Drosophila melanogaster: one gene and its partner. The protein of the gene in region 1 interacts with the protein of each later gene in a pairwise test. Each region holds a gene or a part of one and is shown on either strand. Other genes may lie near its edges. The genes, in order: GstS1 and danr.

Evidence for each region.
Region 2: the proteins of GstS1 (region 1) and danr interact in a two-hybrid assay, tested with the Drosophila melanogaster proteins (one large-scale study listed by BioGRID).

Annotation. Positions count from the first base shown.
Region 1 is NT_033778.4:17,093,329-17,101,271, reverse strand, and holds the start of GstS1 (glutathione S transferase S1), read left to right. Parts: upstream 1-1,770; 5' UTR 1,771-1,780; intron 1,781-2,965; exon of another isoform or gene 2,966-3,146; intron 3,147-3,736; exon of another isoform or gene 3,737-4,044; intron 4,045-4,294; exon of another isoform or gene 4,295-4,468; intron 4,469-6,211; 5' UTR 6,212-6,236; coding exon 6,237-6,507; intron 6,508-6,575; coding exon 6,576-6,755; intron 6,756-6,813; coding exon of another isoform or gene 6,814-6,822; coding exon 6,823-6,956; intron 6,957-7,043; coding exon 7,044-7,211; 3' UTR 7,212-7,943. UniProt on the Drosophila melanogaster protein: Conjugation of reduced glutathione to a wide number of exogenous and endogenous hydrophobic electrophiles. May be involved in the detoxification of metabolites produced during cellular division and morphogenesis.
Region 2 is NT_033777.3:25,136,031-25,140,634, reverse strand, and holds danr (distal antenna-related), read right to left. Parts: upstream 2,564-4,604; 5' UTR 2,403-2,563; coding exon 1,143-2,402; 3' UTR 732-1,142; downstream 1-731. UniProt on the Drosophila melanogaster protein: Probable transcription factor with a role in the retinal determination (RD) network. Regulates ato expression and is required for normal R8 induction and differentiation.

The DNA of each region.
Region 1 (7,943 bases):
AATTTGCTTATAACTTCGAGGTATCTTAGGGGGATTTTTCAATCGTTATTAATAGACCGCAAACTGGTTATAGCCGCCTAATTGGGCATTTAGCATCGTCACATGCAAGTTTCATTGTGTTTGACTTTGGCTACCTTTTAACCCGAGTGCAACAAAGGGTATATTGCTTTCGTGCTAGTCTTAAACAGCAATCTACACTTGGAGGTCTATCTAGTATTTTTTCAGTTGGGGGATCAACTCTACTTTTTTTCGTAATAACAATCGGGAAGTATTCGGTCGATCAATTTCTGATTCACTCTGTTATCTTCACCCACTCCACTGCTTATCGTCATTTATAATATTTGAATGGGTTTTAAAGCCACTTCTAACATTTATAAAGTATGGCAATCATAAACGGGTACATTTTCACACAACTACATCAAACTACTTTAACCAAAATCGAAGCTATGGGCGAATAATAGCTAAACAAATAGATACGTGGAAACCTTGAATTGGATAATACGATTTTCGCCCATCAGCAGAGTCAGCTAACAAAATAGAGTTTATGTATTTAGTCAGCCGATTACAAAGATAAAGGCACACAGAATAGTGGCTTTAATGGCTTAAAGTGGCGAAAACCACTCATTACCGACACGAGTCAGTACGAGTTTGAAGCAAAACAGCTTTGGAGCCAGCACTGATTCGGGCGAAAAGTGACAATTTTTTTGTGTATTTACTCAATTAAAATTGGAGTTTGATTTTCAGGTTTTGCACAGTTCATAATTTGTGGGCACGTGTTAATGAGACAGTTTTTGTAAGCGCATGCAGACGTTTCGTGTTCGCTTTGAATTTAGATTTCTTCACTAGCTGCCATTCGAGTTCACTTGCCAATTTCGGCACTTACATTGTTCGCTATTTATCGGTCTTTTGCCGCGCTTTAAGGTCACGGCTCACGCTGCGTATACGCAATGTGGACTTCAAGCGATCGCCCAATTGGAAAACATTCACCAACTCGCGCAACGTTCGCTCACCTGCGCATTTGAATTCGCACTGAAGGTGGAATTCGCAGTGCAGCAAGTGCGAGAATTATCGCCTCTCCCGATCTCACTGTTTCTCTCTCTTTCCATATAGCACCCGTCTATAACTTTTACCGCTGCCGCTCCCGCCGTCTGGTTTTAACTGTTCGCCCGCCGAGTGTTAGTTATAATTTTTTTATGCGCTCGCTTTTTTATTATTTAGATTGCTCTCGCGGGCTCGTCGGTTCCGTTCTGTGTCGCATTTTCCACAGCAAATTATTGTCATAATTCCGCCGCTCATTCTTCGTGCTGCTTACTATTCTTTTTTTTTTACTTATTCCTGGAGTGCAATTGCAGGCGGCATAAATTCTTAATTAGTGCAGGCCACACAGCAAATAATTTTATTTAATTGCAGCCATAGTCATGACCATAAAATAGTAAACTACTTTCAATCCATAAACGTTAAAATCATACATCTATGCACTTTATTGGAAAATATTTTATAGCACGTTGTTAGAACATAAAATTTTATAGCAAGCTTCAAAATGCATAATTGCAGAAAAAATCCATTAGGTTTAAACGTAAAATTTCTGCCTGTGCATAAAACTTAGTGGTCTTCGCCAAGAAAGAAACGAAAAAGAATGCGGAGAAAATTGGCGCACAACCAGGCAGTCTGGAAAACCTACTTCAAAAACAATAACGAATCGAAAATTTCCCTCACTAGCGAGCAGTGCGTCAAAAAAAACTTCGGACTTTTTTTTAAGTCTCAGTTAGAGTTATTCATGGTGAGTCCGCTGCGATTTGTCATATATTCTCCACCTGTTTCACTCGATTATGCACTCGTCAGCGTGTTCGAAATGTCTGTCTTATCGTGAACGATTGTCATATCTTATCAATCGAGGTCTGCTCACAATCGAAACCGCCAACGCAAAACGAAGAGCTGAATACGCGCCATCGCATTAAAGGCCACAAATCGGTCATTTTCTATGGATTTTCGCGTAATTCTACGAGAATTCTGGGCTCGATTTTGTGGGGGATTTTTGCTGTTTTCTTACTTGTGCACCGATTCGCTTATCTTTGCACATTTTCGAACGTACGCCGCCCAGCCAACACAAAAACACACAAATAGTGCCCGAATCGCATGGAATGCTTCTTTTCCAGCTGTGGGAGTCCCATGGCTGCGAAAAGCTGGTGAATTCGATTGCGTTTTATGGTAGTTATTTGGGTAGAAGCAAAGATTGTGTGGGTACAAGATGAAAATTGTAGGAGTCCCATCAATTCACAGTGAATAACACTTAATCAAGTTTTTTAATCAATTAATTCAATTTTATACTATTTTATGTCAAGTGCTAAGCAAACGGCAGTCATTTTCAGCTAATGATAAGATATGAGCTAAGACCTATTTAACTAAGTGTAACTGACCTTCTAACTTAATTTATGGCAATTAATAAATTTCATTAAATTTTGATACAAGTAAACCCAATTAACAAATCATATTTTCGCGCCAATATTCAAAATTTAAACTTACCACACTTTTCTAAGTCGAATTCGCCGCAATTCGAGCCACACTTTTCTAAGTCGAATTCGCCGCAATTCGAGCCACTAACAGCTAGCCAAGCACACAACCTAAATTAGTGCGGCTTCTAACCAACCTTTTTATTATCAAGTACCGCAACCATGCAAAGAGTTGCCAGAATGTTAATTTCGAACATTTACGTTACAAGTTGAATTTGTCATTCAAATGTTTAAATTTTTAAATGGAAATTTTGCCTTCAGCAAATATGCCTAAATTAACAGGTTTAATTAAAATAATTTTACTTATTTTACCGATATTTATAAATGCAATTAGAAAAGATATGAAAGAGCCCCCGTTAAGCTATTCAAAAACAAAACAATGTGCAACATGTTTTAAATGCTTAAATAATTTTAATTTGATATAATTCACAAGCGTTATACATTTTTTCCCTTAGACAACCCTATGAAGTGAACCTGATGCTTCCCACATAAGTAAACATCTTGGATGCACTCGAATTTCGTCGCCAGGCACCGCCAGTCTGGATCGAACTAAGCAAAGTCCAGAGCACCGCGATTGAGTATTGGGCGTTTCAAATTTCCTGGCTAATTTCTCACAATCAGTTAATGCTAACAAAAGTACTTATGCGGCGGATAGTTCCTAAGAATGTGGGAGTATGACTTTAAGATACGATAAACTTACTTAATGCAAATAGGAGTAAGATTGAAAGTTAATAATTAGTTTTAGGTACCCATAAGATGTTTTTTTCTTCGGCTCTCAAAATCTGCTTTATTTAGTTTTCGTTCTTTAAACTATGTATCTTTTAAGTGGGCAGTAAACAAGCTTCATCCACTAAAAGCCCAAACAAATATTTACTGCCTTTTTTTGCTACTATAATTGGTTTATTACTGAGCTGAGAACCTCTCCCAAAGAGATCTATTTAAATGCCGACTGAGAGATTTTAAGAACAGAGAGAGAGTTCCATTTTGTTTATGAAAAGCTAATTGCCAAATTGGGAAGCCAAAGCCTGCTGGAATATTGCATTCCATTTAAGAAAAGAGGGTAGGAAGAAGAAGAACTGGAAACGTGGCTAAATATGTTAACTAATTCATTAACTTCGTTTCCTTTTCAACGCCCACTGGAACTAGAATCAGAGAGAGAGAGAGAGAGAGAGAGAGAGAGAGAGAGAGAGAGCCAAACTTAAAATTAAAACACTACCTTTTTCCAGTTAACCGGCCGGCTTACACACACAGTCAAACGCCTGAAGCTTGAAAGAGAGTGTTTGCTTGATGAGAGCGGCAAGCGTATAAAAGCAGCGTCGCCGGCAGAAGAAAGTCAGTTGCAGTGCAGTCGTCGTGACGATCGGTTCAGTGATAGCTTCCCAGTGGCTGGAGAGAGTGAGAGTAGAGAGTAACGGAAAGAGAGTGCGAATCGAACCGAACGCTATTCCTTCGCCCACGATTTAAGTGAACGCTTATTAGCGAATTGAAGACCCGAGAGCCCCAGTGCCCAGCTGATTTCGTATTCTTTGTTGAGGTAAGCCAAGGAATCCCTGGAACCACCTCATTTCGTAGCACCTTAGTGATGTAATTACGCACCAAGATTTACCCTTGCCAAAAAGTGGAAAACGCTTTTGCGAACTTCGATGCCGAATGGTGTTCGTCTCGAATCGGTTCTAAAATTACACACAATGGTTTTTTGGCTTCGATTGATTTGATTTGATTTTTGGGTCAATCGATTCGAAATCGAAAAGTTTTGAACTCGTTTCGCAGAATCGCAGTTCGCGCGGATCTCTCGCCTCGCTCGCAAGCAAATATGTGAAGGACAACGACGTTAACCGATCAACTAGAAGCCCTCTTCTTCTGCCTCTTCAGAACCGATCAGATCGGAATAGAAATATAGAAACGACCATAGCACCTCCGTCGACTGTGGAGTGCGTGAACGTATTTCGAAGCGTGAGGTACTCGAACCGGAACCAACTTGAGTGTAGTGCATATTCGGGATCTTATCCAAACGCAGGCTTACATAACCCCTATTTTAATACCTTTTCAAAAAGGAATAATTGAAATTCAAAACAAAATTATTTAGCAACAAACAAACAATCAGTTATATTTTTGAACTGATATGCCTCGGGGCTAGGGGTCCCAGACTTTCAAATTCTAGTGATAACCCCCCCGATCGGCGAGTTCATCTGGAAATGTTGCCCATATGGGCCGGGTGCACGTGAATCTCTTCAGTGCCCATTGACGCACTTTGTGTGCCTCCACTGGGTCCTTGACCCGCTGTGATCCCTGCCCTTTCCCATGGATTGGATAATCTAGGTGTCATTATCTTCCCTAACCTTTTCCCACGATTAAAGTGAAACCATTTGCCACGATTTTAGTGCCGTAGTGCCAGATCAAAGAGCCAAAATAGATCAGAGAATCGAAATTTAATTAAATCATGACACCGAAACACCGAGACAGACCAAATTAAATTCAATTGAAGCTGTCATGGCAACAAGTGCCAGCAAAAAAAAGGAAGAGCACTACGGCGAAACCAGAAGATAACACCGAAAAGTCAAATCGATTGTTGCAATTTGAGACTCTCCGAAAGCGAAAATTGCAGCGGAAGAGGCGGCCAATCGGCCATTACTAAACGGTGATGGGGTTGGGGAGGGGATCCGAAGTCTTGGTGACTGACTGGGCGCCCTGCCAAAATGATGGCAAAGGCAGAGACACCATGATTCCTCAGCCAAATCGAACGAAAACGGGTTTACGCTCTACATGGACCCCATTGCACACTGAATCCGTTTATCCAGCGAGGCAAAAAGTGCCGACGACAATGGAAACAGGGGCGTAGTATCCGTACCTCCTCCGTCCTACGATTCTTCCAGCAGCGCCAACGCCCCAAAAGATATTGATTCCGACTTTTGCGCGATTCAGCGAAAAACATAAGGGGACCAAAAGTGGGCAGACGGGCGGAGGAGTGGTGTCTGTTTCTTTGATATGCGTGGGTGTGTTGTCTGTGCGGCAATCGATGCACTTCCGGTGGGTTCTATGGGGAAATACTCTTGCGTTTCAGTATATATCTACTATATATATTGCAATTTTATGGTAATTATATTTTCTGTCAACTTTTGCCTTGACTCCGCTTGATTTATTGCATTGTTCTTGAAGAATAGCCTCATAAGGCATGCAAGCAAACATGGCTTTCGAACTAGCGCAAAATTAGCTAGTAGCTTATAGAGTATATGTAGCTTACCCCCAACGGTTTTTATATCATTTGTTTAAACCACTTAAGAATATTCGTAGCCTTGTGGACACACTTTATCGTGGATCGTGGAAGTTATACGACACCGTAATATATCCTTATCACTCACGCATATTCTGGCCCACTTCAGCTAGAAACGTTTGGCGCGTTCGCCTTATCATAAAAATCAGGCTATCGACTGATTAACTGAGTTTAATAAGCCAGCAAACGTAAACAAAAACTACGAAAGTTCTGGAAAACTAACCAAGGCTATTTCAAAACGGCGTGAAATGGCTAGCACTCTAAATTATTGAAGTTTTCAACATATGTATATCTAATCTGATAGCCAAGAAAACATAATGGTTACCAACTTTCCATATACACCGTAATTTATTATTGATGAATATCAAATTATCGATAGTACTTCCCCGATAAGATTCTGTTAACACACATTGCTCTACTTTTCTATCAGGGAATTGCATTGAGAAAGCGCAGAGATGGCCGATGAAGCACAAGCACCACCAGCTGAGGGAGCACCACCAGCCGAGGGAGAGGCGCCACCACCCGCCGAGGGAGCCGAGGGTGCCGTCGAGGGCGGAGAGGCCGCTCCACCAGCAGAGCCCGCCGAGCCCATCAAGCACAGCTACACGCTCTTCTACTTCAACGTGAAGGCGTTGGCCGAGCCCCTGCGCTACCTGTTCGCCTACGGCAACCAGGAGTACGAGGATGTGCGCGTCACCCGCGACGAGTGGCCAGCCCTGAAGCCCAGTGAGTGCCATAGTCCATCATTGAGTGGTCAGTGGACTAACCATAATCTACTCTGTCTCATCCAATAGCCATGCCCATGGGACAGATGCCCGTGCTGGAGGTGGACGGCAAGCGTGTGCACCAGAGCATTTCGATGGCTCGATTCCTGGCCAAGACTGTCGGCCTGTGCGGCGCTACTCCGTGGGAGGATCTGCAGATCGACATTGTCGTTGACACCATCAATGACTTCCGTCTAAGTAGCGAACAATGTGTGCCTCAGTTTCATGTTCAGTGTCCTTGATTAACTCTGGAATTTTTAATGTATAGAAATTGCAGTCGTCTCGTACGAGCCGGAGGACGAGATTAAAGAGAAGAAGTTGGTCACCCTGAATGCGGAGGTCATTCCATTCTACCTGGAGAAGCTCGAGCAGACCGTCAAGGACAACGATGGTCACCTGGCTCTGGGCAAGGTGCGTGCTCAAATGAGAACTTGAAACCATACACTCGTTAATTTTGAATGAACAATACTAAGAACCATCGATTCCTTTCACCCACAGCTGACCTGGGCCGACGTCTACTTCGCAGGCATCACCGACTACATGAACTACATGGTCAAGCGCGATCTGTTGGAACCCTACCCAGCTCTGCGCGGAGTCGTGGATGCCGTCAACGCTTTGGAACCGATCAAGGCCTGGATCGAGAAGCGCCCCGTCACCGAGGTCTAAGTTCACCGAACAGGACTTGGGAGGATGGGAAAGCATTGCACAACCACTCAGACACAACCGCACCGCAGAAATGCACACCACCCACATCTGCACACATTTTGTTCCTTTTTGCGGAGGATCCGAGAGGACGGCGGATTTTCGCACGGGGTCATAAACGCGTAGGAGTTTAGCACGTATCACTATGGATAAATCGTATTTGTTCTTAATTTCTTGGTTATAATTCTCTTTGCATGGCGCTATATACATATTTCTATTGGGGTCCGGCAGCGGATCGCCGTTCGTTAGCTTCTTCTGAAATGATGAAAGATAATACTTATTGCACAGTTTATAATATTTTGGCTTACTTTTAGAACATACATTTAGCGCACCTATGCAGACATTTGCTGTACCTATATATATATATATATGCATAAAATACAAAAGCTACGAGTGGTTCATCTTATAGGCGTATTCTATTGCAATTTATTCAATGCGGAGGGCTCAATAAATATTTAAAACAACACCAGCTAAGGCTGAGAAACAATTACAAATTCTTATTTTGTTTTTTATACAACACGCCATCGCGGCCCCAGGAATTTTCTTCGTCTCATCCAGTTCCCTTTTAAGTAGCCATTAAAAAAAGACTCACATCAATAGAACCGGTTTCTCCAAAAAAAAAAAAAACAGACTCTTACTGCCAAATTTCAAATGCACATAATCACATTATTATATACATATTATTTATTCAAATTT
Region 2 (4,604 bases), on another chromosome or scaffold:
TTTTCGTGTTCGGCATGACCGATGCCTCCGAAAACGCTTTCCAGGCACCAATCGTCAGGAGCAGGGTAAAAGGAGCAGGGAAAACAGGAAGAGGACTCATTAACGCACAGCCCAGATGCCAGGACCCAAACTCCTCTGCTGACTGCTGACCTCCATCTATGGCACCTATAATGATGCTTCCCTTTCATCATATAGAATATGGAATGTGCTTCGGCACATACATGTATTCATTTGCATGCCAAGTTTAATATTTATCCCTACAAAATAAATGGCAAAAAACCAATGAAGGCGCTTTTTGGTAAAAGAGTTTTACTTCTAATGGAAATTCAAAGTAGGATTCATTAGCATTTTCAAGTTTTTATTTGTTTGCAACTTAAAGATTCAATCGATTTGTGTTTAATTTGCATAATGAATTTAAAATTAGTTTAATGAAATATATTTTTAAAATATGGGTAAAAAGTTGACTATTTGTTTTTCTTGCAAATGCCTGTAAGTTTTATTTAACTTGCGAACGTTTTAAATAAAAACCACATGAATTAATTTAGTTTTGTTATAATTAAATACTTTAATTCTATAGAAAATTCCTGTTTTTCGATAAGCCTTTTGGCGGGTAAGACTTTCATTTTCTTCATAGGTAGAAAATTGACCCATTTTTCTAACCGCTGTAATTGAAAACCCATCAAGTAAAAAAATGTTTTGATCTTGAGAGATTGACACTTGAATTTTATTTTGTTTTGTTAATAAATATTTATTCGTTTCATTAGTAATTAGTTTATATGCTTATTTGAGAGTTACGCAGATTACACAGTAATAAAACAAATCGATTGGAATGGCTGACAAAATGTGCCAACTAATTAAGCTACTTAACACAATTAGTATTTGTTATAATACGTGTAGATGAATTGAATTTGGCTTTCAAACAAGTAGTCACACAGTTGATATTCCTAGTTAATACTAGCTATAGTATGCTGAGCTATTAATACCTGTTGCAGTGATATTAATACGTTAATTGATAAGTACAAATGGCATTTGCATTGCGAAATGATTCGAGTTTCATTAATACTAAAGGTGGCTAATAACAATAAAAATGGATGTATTTACACTATGAACTACAACTACAACTATGCTATAATGTAGGGTGTCTACTGTTCGGCGTCGCTGGACCCGACGCTCTTGTCGGGAGTGTGGGATCTGCTGGACGCCTTGGAGGCGCAGGAGCGCACGGACAGATCCTCCGGCTCGCTGTCGCAGTAGCTTTCGTTGGAGGCCTCACTGTGCGCCAGTGGACTCAGTCGCTTTAGTAGCGCCTCGTTGAAAGGATATGTTTCGAGATCCGGCTCCGATCCGCCGCTGGCCATTTGGTTGGGATTGTAGCTGGGTCCACCTGGTCCTCCGCCGCCGGGCTGCATGGAGGCTGCGGCCGCAGCGAAGGCCAGGAAGTTCAAACTGGCATTGAAGAGCTTGCACCAGTCGAGCAGAGCCGCTCCCTGGTTATCGGTTCCAGTGGGCGGGGCGTTTGCCGGAGTCACTGGTGCTATCACAGGCGCTAGATCCGCAGGATTCGGGAAGGGTGCTGGCAGTAGGGGCATTGTGGTGTCCGAGAACATGGGAGTCTTCGCCTGCTCCGTGACAAGAGCTTGTGGTGCGGAACTGTTGGCCTCCAGGGCATTGTTGTTCTTATCGTTCACTTGCTCCGGCTGATTGGCGGAGTTCACCCGCTTGGCCGGATCCTTGGCCCAGTTCTTAACACTCAGCAAGGGGTAATTGTTTTTGCTGTAATCCTCGGAAGCAGCGGGCGAATCAATCACTTTGTTGTCCTCTGATTTCGGCTGTGCATCTACCAGGACATCGGCAGTCTGTGGGGTGAGTTTGGAGTTGAGCAGGGCCAGAAGATTCAGCTGGTGCAGCATGTTGTTGGAGTAGTCCATCACGCCGGCCTGACCCGGATGCAGTGCACCCTCCGGATGCAATCCACCGTTCTTTTTTACAAATTCCACAAGGCTAAGCTTCTCCAGCAGGGATTCATTTTGCACTGGGTAATCGGCTGGACTGTAGGGCAGTGCACCGAAGCCCAGCTCCTCGTAGTTTGGAGGCAGTGCCACGAACTTCGGTGGCAGCTGGAGCTGCAGCTCGAACTTGGCGCGCTTTTCCGGTGGCGTGTCGAGACCCAGGTGATCGGGGCCCAGCTGGCGGCACATGAAGCGCAGCTTCTGCTCGTTCTTGCACCAGCCACGCAGCGTGGACTCCGGCACTCCGATGTCCCGCGACACACTCGCCTTGGTTTCACCATTGTGGATGCGCTGGATGGCACGCACCTTGTCGTTGGGCGTGAGGTTCCTCAGAGGACGCTTGCCGCGCGTGCTCATCCGGATGTTCATGTGCTGGTAGGCGGAGATATCCATGGTTCTATTTCTGGTTGCGCTGGCGATAGCGATTGCGATTACGATAGCGGTTTCGAAGCGCGGACTTTGCGGATGCGACCACCGGTGTGCACTCCTCGAACTCGCAGAAGGATGTGATTGTGAATCCGATTCCGCGAAAGGCGAGCTGCGAACTGCGAACGGCGACAGGCGAACGGCGACCGCCGAGATGATCCGATGATTTTGCGGCGAAGAGAACGGCATGACGTTTTTCTCGCTTTTTCTCGACCAATCGGAGCAAAGCGCCACTCTCACCTTTCTCTCTCTCTCTCTCTCGCGCGCGCACCCACCACCCACCAGTGCAACAACTTGTTACTCATGTCCTGCTCACGAAATTCGCTCTGTTCGGCTCTCTTAACGGGTTTGATGTCCTGACCATCATTCGCGTCCCTCTTCGCGGGCTGCGTATGTGTGTGGTGGTGTTGTGGATCTAGATATTCAGCATGCAGGATGCACATTTCCAAATCGGCTCCTCCACGTGGCTGCGTGTGTGTGTGTGTATGTGCCCGTGTGTTTATATAAAAACCAGTTATTTACCTCCCATAAACATTCCCTCCTGCGAAAGTGTGTGTGCGTGTATTTGGCCAACCTTCTCGCATTCGCATGTGCGTGAGCGGATCTGATACGGACGTGGACCTGGTTGCACTTTTGGGTTGCGAATCTACCGAGAATAACACAATTCCACTCTATATTATTTGCACTCTCCATCTGTGTGTTTGCACTAATTTCCATGAGTACTCTTTGTCCGTTATTTGTGGTAAATATTTTCATTGCACCCTTATCTTATGAAGATAATAGAAAATATATAGACTAAAAGGTGATCAGGCTAAACTTATTAACACAAGTTTTGAATTCACTGCGTTTTTTTAAATATTTTTATTTATATGTATAAGTGCTCACGAAGTACAATAATATAAAAGAATAGCACATACCTTATATGGAGAACTTGCATAGTTCTTTGCTGATGATTATTCGCACACAAAATTGTTTTAACCTTCATAAAACGATGTAATTCATATAAATATATTATTTATGGATCACTTCTAATTTTTTGATTGCGACTGTATACTAAAAACGTACGTAATGTACATAACACCTTTGTTGGAACACCTTTCTAATTGTAATTCTTTGATTCTACCCCTAATCCAAAGAACTATGTATATGCTGTCAAACACTGTTATTGTTATTAAAATGGATTATAATGTCTCAATGAATCTCGTCGTTTAATTATTGTTTAAACTATTAATGCGTCTGCGCCGTCCACTAAAGAAAAAATAACAAAAGCTTTCAATCTCGAGAAAACTATCAGCATTCTAGAAGAAGAACTGCTTTAAAAGCTTTCAGCCTGGTAAATATACCAAATCATATTATAAATTGCGAAAATTGGCTAAGTACACTTTAAAATAATCATTTTAGAAATGCTAATCCGTTCAATATTCTCCTTAAATAATATCACACATCCCTTTTTTAATACTTTTTTATTGTGTTATTAAAAGACACAGTTTAGAAAGTAAGTAGCCTTTAGTATTTATGTTTGATTTACACATATTTAAATAAATTTTCTATTAACTATAATTTATTAGATTACATCTACTTGTATTGATTAATTTCCGTTTTGCTGTATGTTATAACTATATCATTATTTATTATTAAACAATTTTCATTCAAGTTTATTTGTCACAAAACTGTATTTTAAAATGAATGGATTGTTTTAAATTAAATATGAAACCTACACAATAAATAAACGATTGCAAGCGTACTCAAATCGTAATTATCGATTAAAATTAACAATTTGTTGACATACCGCATTGAGATACTCTTTCTGATACATAAAGTCAAAATAAGTGCACATTTAATGGAAAAATCAAATTGCATTAGATTTATAAGTATTTGCAGTATAAGTATGAGGAAACGGTATTTATTTTAAGTCTCAATTTATACATACATACAAATTTAAATATATACATAACCTATGTTGGCAGTTAGCCCTTACATTTTGTACATACACTTTATTGTTATTATATACATAATTTGTTTCAGTCGAAGGCTTATTAAACTAATTCTGAACGCATACGTCAAATGCACATACCCATATAAGTATATATCTTAATATATACTGCATGCCTTATCTTAACTTTAAACTAAAAAGAGATAACTATTCGGGGGCATCAATGGGAATAAATG